Linked DNA regions of Macaca fascicularis. The protein of the gene in region 1 interacts with the protein of each later gene in a biochemical or structural test. Links are inferred from orthologs where the notes say so. Each region holds a gene or a part of one and is shown on either strand. Other genes may lie near its edges.

Region 1 (3,806 bases):
CATATTCTTCTCTTTCCCTGGGCAGGTGTCTAATGCCTGTCCTCAGCCAACAAGCAGCAGTAGAAGCCAGAAGGAAGGCTGTGAGCAAAAAAAAAAAAAAAAAAAAAATGCCTAGGTGTGGTGGCTCATACCTGCAATTCCAGCACTTTGGGAGGCCAAGGCAGGATGACTGCTTGAGCCCAGGAGTTAGAGACCAACCTGGGCAACATAGTGAGACCCCGTCTCTATTTAAAGAAAAAAAAAAAGCCACACACAGAGGAAGAGCTGTTTCACTGGCAGGAGCAGCAAAAGGTTGGGTAGCTGACTCCCCAAGACCAAAGCCCTTTCTCAGGTCTCACGCCCGTACCAGGTGCCAATGGGTAGGCACAAAGTGGGGCTATTTGCTGGCAATCCAAATTCTGCCCACAGATGACCCTAAGTGCCTGTGCTCCGCCATGACTGAGGGGGAGTGAAGACAGGCTACGCTACAAAGAGACCCTGTGCCGGAGGAGAAGAGGGAGTGGTTGGGGCAGGACAAGGTGACAGATGCAGTCAGCACCTGTGTCTCCCCCTACCAGGGCCCCTTGGTTCCATCAGGGCCAGATTACCAGCCCAACTGATTCAACCCTGGGATTCCAACCACAAAGGGATGAAAGAACAGGGAAGAGGCAGAAATATCCTCTGGGATGGCTGTGCCATAGACCCACAGCCTCAGGCCCCAACCAGAGGACTTACTTGACAGCTACTGACTTGGCCTGCAGGGCCGTGCTCCAGAAGTCATCCACCTGCTCAGGGGCCCCGTAGGCCTCCAGGCAAGAGCTGAAGGGCACCTGGGCCCGAACCAGTTCTGGCAGTGGCATCTTCTCCTCTTCGGCTTGCCGCTTCTTCTCCTCGTACTCCAGAAGCTCCTCTGGTGACAGAATGGGTTGGTGGATCCTTCAGAGTGTGCTGCTTCTTTCCCTTCTTAGCCTCTCCCTACTGGCTCTGTGTCCCTATTTCAGCTCCTCTACCCTTCCAAGGCACCCCGACACACGTCCAGTATGTCTCGCCTCTGTTTCCACGCAGCTCTGCTAACAAGCTGAGAGTCCACTGGGCGAGGTTAACCCTACCTACTCCTGGTGGCCGAGACTGGAACCTTGGTGGTGGAGCAGGGCATTCCATGGACTCTGCTCCCATCAGGTGCCCAAGCATTCCTCCTAGACCTTAGCCTCCCCCCGTGCCAAGGCCTTGCTGATGGAGCAACCTACCTTTGTTAAGGGCTGCATCCATGGGCACAGGCAGCTGCATGATGTAGTCAACTCGCTGGGTGTACTTCACCTTCTCTGTGGCCAGGCACTTAATCTTCTCCTCCACCAAGAAGCGGAACACTTCATTCGGATTTTCAGAGCTCCGGCAATTCCTCTATGGGAAAGAGGCAGGGTAGGGAGGTCTGGGCAGCCAGGGAACAGAATGGGGCCTGAAAGGTTCATGGGAGAGTCAGGGAGAGAAGACAGACTACCACTCAGAACTCAGGGACATAAGAGCAGAGCAGAAACCTTCCCTAATTCACCAACCCCTCCCATTTCTGGCCCCATCCCTGCACTGAGGGACTGTGCTGGAACACGCCTGTATTTTTCTTTATGAGCAGTAAGTATTCTCATGTCATTGTCTTTGGGCGCAATCTGAATTGAGCTTCCAGCCCATCAAGGGTAAGGATCATCACCTTCACTATCCTCCTTAGGTGCAAATACTGCTCACAGGGACATAGACCGTAGGGATTCAGGGATGGGACTGGGTTGGGGCTGACAGAGGGAGAAATGGGCAGGAAGGAGAGCGAGTAAACTGCAGGAAAATGAGGGTGTGCCATCTTCCCAGCCCTTACCTCCACCATGTTGATAAGGTGAAGGAAGAACTCCTGGGCATCCTGCTGCCGGTTGGTGGAGAATTCAGGGTGGCCCTTGCCGATGAGGGCCTTGAACATCCGAGGGGCAATGCCATCTTGAACTTCCTGGGAAGAGTCAGGGCAGGGACTCAGCTGGGGCTCAGTGGTCATCCCGGGGCCTTCTTTAGACATCTCCCAGACCTCAGCTTCCCCACAATCCCAGGGCCTGAAAGGGACAGAGTCCTAGACGCACCTTCTGTTCTGGCACCCGCTCCCCATCGCCCGACTCTGGTACTGGCTTGGAATACTCCCCGGAGAGAAGGCCATGGCCCAGCTTGGCCCTGCGTTAATATCCAAGAAAACATTTCACTTCAGTCAACTAACGACCCTGTATGTCCCCAACTCAACCCCCTGCTCGTGGCTCTCCCTAGCTAACTCTTGACAATGTGAAAAACCTTAGATTCCACAGGAACCCAGCTCAAGACAGACAACATGCCCAGAGGACAGTCACCCGAATACTCCTAATAGGCCAGGGGTGGCCATGCATGATGGCTCACGCCTGTAATCCCAGCAATTTGGGAGGCTGAGGTGGGCAGACCACGAGGTCAGGAGATCGAGACCATCCTGGCCAACATGATGAAACCCCGTCTCTATTAAAAATATTTTAAAAATTAGCTGGGCGTGGTGGCGGGCGCCTGTAGTCCCAGCTACTTGGGAGGCTGAGGCAGGAGAATCACTTGAACCCAGGAGGCAGAGGTTGTAGTGAGCCGAGATCGCACCACTGCACTCCAGACTGGCAACAAAGCAAGACTCCGTCTCAAAAAAAAAAAAAAAAAAAAAAACAAAGGCCAGGGGTTAAAGTGCTGTGCCCCCCAGGCGGTCATGGAGGAGGAAGGTATACGGCCATGACTCTCAACAGCCTTCCTACATAGGACCTGGTTACATACACCTGGGTGCTGAAGTCCTGGGTAGGGTCTGTCGGGGCATTCTGGAAGATCTTCTCCAGCTTATCCACATACCTAAAAGTCAAGGAAAGGACGGTTGGAGGGGCTCTGGCCTGAGCTCTGAGGAAAAGGGAAGGGAGCAAACATTTACTAATTCTGTGAATGGGCTCCCGTCAAGAGTGGGGAGTCGCTTCTCTCCAGCAACCTGCCTGTTCTCCCCTTCTCAACTATGTCCAGTGTGTAAGCACGCTGGGCGGCACAGGAGCCAGGGAGGGAGGCAGCCTGGGATGAGGACAAGGGCAGTTCATGTTCCATTAGACAGAACCTGTTGACATATTCTGAGCATTCACATTCTAATTGTTCCCCAAATTCAAAGGTAAACTCATTTCTGCTGAGAACCTGCCTTTCTTCTTAGTGTACCAAGCCCCCTTCCTCCCCAAGTGCTACATGTCCATGTTAGGTGCTCATCTGAGGTCACTGGCCTAAAATAAAGACCATCTGCTAACCCTTGAGTCTGTCAGAAGGCCACAGAGCCCGGGGACCTGGCACTCTGCACTATCAGCGGGGTTTGTGTGTTGGGGTGCTGGTGGTGCAGCTCCCTAACTTGCTCCCCTTACAGCATGTCAGCCAGAGTGTGACAGGAATTATTCTGTTTTTTTTTTTTTAAAGAGAAGACAGGGTCTCGCTATGTTGCCCAGGCTGGTCTCAACCTCCTGGGTTCAAGCGATTCTCCCATCTTGGCCTCCCAAAGTACTGGGATTACAGGTATGGGCCAACACACCTAGCTGATAGGAACTACTCTAAGATTAGAATCAAACACAGAGGTGCCAAGGGCAGCTGAAGGGAGTATGCCCAGAGGGTGCTGACCAGGAGGGGGCCTGGGGAAGGAGAGCACTACTCACTTCCTCTGGAAGTCAGGGATGCTGAAGAGCACCTGGACCACGGAGTTGAGGTAGCAGCTGTTACCCAGGTTCTGGATGCCTGTGTAGCCAGGCCCAAACAGGGGCTTGAGTGGCACACCC
Region 2 (3,367 bases), on another chromosome or scaffold:
ACAACCCACGTGCCATGACGAGGGTCACAGTGGCATTGGACTTGTGTCTGGCAAGGTCTCCCATCCCCCCAGGGCAGGGCCTGATGCTCCAACCTTCCCTGAAGCCTGTCTCCCCCACCCCAGAGCCTCTGCCACCCCCCTACAGCCTTCAGGAGGTAGAAGTCTCGGTGGTGGACACAGAGACCTGCCGCCGGGACTACCCTGGCCCTGGGGGCAGCATTCTTCGGCCCGACATGTTGTGCGCCCAGGGCCCCGGGGATGCCTGCCAGGTGAGCCTGCCAGGCCGTGACAGAGGACGGGGGTGGGTGCAGCCCAGGGAGGGGCTCCCCACCTTCTCGGCTCCCCATGCTCGCCTTCTCTGTCCTCAGGATGACTCCGGGGGGCCCCTGGTCTGCCAGGTGAACGGTGCCTGGGTGCAGGCTGGCATTGTGAGCTGGGGTGAGGGCTGCGGCCGCCCCAACAGGCCAGGGGTCTACACCCGTGTCCCCGCCTATGTGAGCTGGATCCGCCGCCACACCACAGCGTCAGGGGGCCCAGGGTCTGGGTACCCCAGGCTCCCCCTCCTGGCTGGTTTCTTCCTCCCCGGACTCTTCCTTCTGGTAGTCTCCTGTGTCTTGCTGGCCAAGTGCCTGCTGCGCCCGCCTGGGGACGGCGCTCCCTTCCCCGCCTGACCGATGGCAGGAACCCAAGCGCATTTCTTAAATAAGTTACTATTTATTCCGCTCCGCCCCCTCCCTCTCCCTTGAGAAGCTGAGTCTTCCGCATCAGATTATTGCAACATTTAACCTGAATTTAAAAGCACACAAAACAAAGGTGTCAACGGGAATCTCGCGGCCAAAGCCCCCAGAGGGAGGGGAGGCCCGATATGCGTCGGTGCCGGGCGCGTTACTCCACGGAGTCGGCTCCTTAGTGATGTGACGTCACCATCTCCCAGAGTCACAGGACGCTTGTGGGAAGGCCCGAGCGGAACGGAAAGGGTGGTGGCTGGAAGGGGAGGGTGGTGAGGGCGTGACAGGCGGACAAGAACTCAGACTGTGAGTGAAGGTGGCCTTGGGCCGCGGTGGCCGCACCTGCTGCCGGCAAGGGCCCAGGCCCCCAGTGAGTGTCCTGTAACAATGCGCAGCCTGAGAGGACGCAGCCTGGTACCTTCCCCTCTCTGGCGGGTGCCTGGTCTTCGTCCCACAAACACAGCTTCTCTCACGACGGGACGTTGACCCAGCTGCCCACACAGCCTCGGCTGGCAGCAAAACTCCAAGAAGCCCGAACCAGAACGGATGGGGGCTCGCGGGGCCCAGCAGCCACTCCTGCTTCACTGGGCAGAGAACCAGGGCCTGGGCTGTCATCCTCCCCGGGCCTCTCTGCTCACGACGGGACCCAAGTCAGGGTCCACGCACGGCTCCGCCTGGGCCACCACCCCAGCGGGGCCCCCAGACCCCAGTGCCAAAGCGCTGTGCGGCACCAAGCCCCGAGCTACACGGGGTCATCTGTACCATCCCCTGGGGCAGGCGTGGCTGAGGGGGACCCTGGTTTCTCCAGAGGACACTGGGGGACTGTGAGGTACGGCCCCCGCCTCTTCTCTGGGGGGTCACTGACGGGCATGGGAGGGTCTGTTTCTGGGGGTTCCAGGAGCACTATGGCCCCTGAAGAGAAAGCTCTGGGTTCTGGGGTCACGCTGTGGCTACCGTCCAAAAAAGGATCTCCACTGGGGCCCCCGAGGTCCAGCGGCTCGAAGGCAAAGCTGGGGACGGTCAGGTGCTCGGCCCGGCAGGAGGCCTGGCCCCAGCGCTCCCCCTTGGCTGCAGGGTCCCCTCCGGTGCCTGAGCCCTCCGTGGGCTCCAGGGAGTCCCTGTGAGGGGTGGCCTCACAGGACGGGGTTCTGCGCCTCAGGGTGGTGCTGCCGCCCTCCGCTGCAGGGGGCCGCGCGGAGCCCTCATCCTCCGCCGGGGGCTCCACCGAGATACAGGGGGGGCTCATCTTCTTCTTTCTGCGCGCACCCAGAGCGGGCTCGGCCTCGGGGCCCCAGGCCTTGGCCTCCCCAGGCTCCCCGCTGCCCAGCTCCGCCGAGGGCCGCCACTGCTCGTCCGCGCGGCCCGGCTTGTCCAGGAAGCCCTGAGCGTCCACGCTGTAGAGCCTGCGCAGGTCCCGCTCGCCGCCGGCCACGGGAGAGGCTTCGGGGCCCTGGGGCTCGGCCGCGGGCTGCCAGGGGCGGGCGGAGCTGGTGATGTGGCTGACCTCCTCGTCGGCTGGATCCGAGGCCTCGGCCTCCTCTCCGCCCGGGGCTGCCGTCCGGCTGGAGACGCAGCGCTGTCCGAAGGTGTGCTTCCGGGTGCGGGTGCTGGCGGGCCGTGGGGAGCGTGGGGGAGACTGCAGGGAGCCCCCCTGGGACACCGGCCTCACCAGGGTTTTCTCGCCAGTCTCCGCAGGGTCCAGGGTGTCCCTAGGGCCGTCAATCTGCCCTTCCAAGGAATCAGCGCGCACAGCCTCCTGTAGGATGTGGAGGCAAAGGGAGGAGCACGAACCTGGGAGAGCCCTATCGGTGGCCGGGGCCCGGGGACCCCTCACCATCCAGGTCCTAGAGAGGCCAACGTGGGCAGGTCCCCTGGGTGGCTCCTGACCCTCGAGATGGGGCTGGAAGCCACTGGTGTGGACATCCCAGTCTCACTCCTGACCTGTGAGGCTCCTGGGGAAAGCCTGTACCCGCTACTCTGCAGGCACAGATGCCACGGCCCCCAGGGGCACAGAGCTGAGGCTACCTCCCCACTCCGGGACACCAGCAGCCCAGCTGGGCACCCCCAGGATGGGGCTCTCCTAACTGCTCCCATGCAGAACGGGGGTCTTGCACTGGGCAGCAAGAGGCAGGGAGAGGCAGGAAGAGGAGCTGAGGCTGCAAGTGGGTGAGGCTGGGACATCTGAGCACAAGCCAGGACCGGAGAAGCCGCTGTCTGCCCACCATGGGACACACGCCCACATGGGGCCTGGAAAATTGCCGTCTGCCTGTCATGGGGTGGGCCTGAGAAACTGCTGTTTGCCCACCCTGGGGCCTGAGGCTGTGGTTCCAAGAAGATTCGGGTCCCCGTAGCCAGGAGCTCTGTAGCCACAGACAGGCTCACAGGCCTGAAGACCCACCTGGGCCCAATGCTCCGAGATCCACCAAGCAGCAGGCAGAAAACTTTAGAGCCCCAAGGACCCAGTGCCACCCTCCCTGGGCCTTGTCCTCATCTGCTGGTCCTTCAGATGAGAGAGGGCATCCCTGTAAGCCCCCCACCCCCGCCAGCCTCCACTGCAGGCAACAGCTTCTCCTACCTGTCTGCAGAGCAGCCGGCTGAGGCTGGGGGAGCGGGCTGTGCCCCGAGGGGACAGGGCGTGG

Evidence for each region.
Region 2: the proteins of USP5 (region 1) and CACNA1H form a complex in vitro, tested with the Homo sapiens proteins (2 studies listed by BioGRID, with this or other methods). The link is inferred for Macaca fascicularis from reciprocal best matches to the Homo sapiens genes USP5 and CACNA1H.

Annotation. Positions count from the first base shown.
Region 1 is NC_088385.1:7,789,788-7,793,593, reverse strand, and holds part of USP5 (ubiquitin carboxyl-terminal hydrolase 5), read right to left. Parts: coding exon 3,687-3,806; intron 2,860-3,686; coding exon 2,788-2,859; intron 2,182-2,787; coding exon 2,094-2,181; intron 1,967-2,093; coding exon 1,841-1,966; intron 1,381-1,840; coding exon 1,227-1,380; intron 890-1,226; coding exon 715-889; intron 1-714. UniProt on the Homo sapiens protein: Deubiquitinating enzyme that participates in a wide range of cellular processes by specifically cleaving isopeptide bonds between ubiquitin and substrate proteins or ubiquitin itself.
Region 2 is NC_088394.1:1,949,517-1,952,883, reverse strand, and holds the end of CACNA1H (voltage-dependent T-type calcium channel subunit alpha-1H), read right to left. Parts: coding exon 3,304-3,367; intron 2,485-3,303; coding exon 1,471-2,484; 3' UTR 695-1,470; downstream 1-694. Other genes in the region: TPSG1 (tryptase gamma), read left to right, coding at 73-671.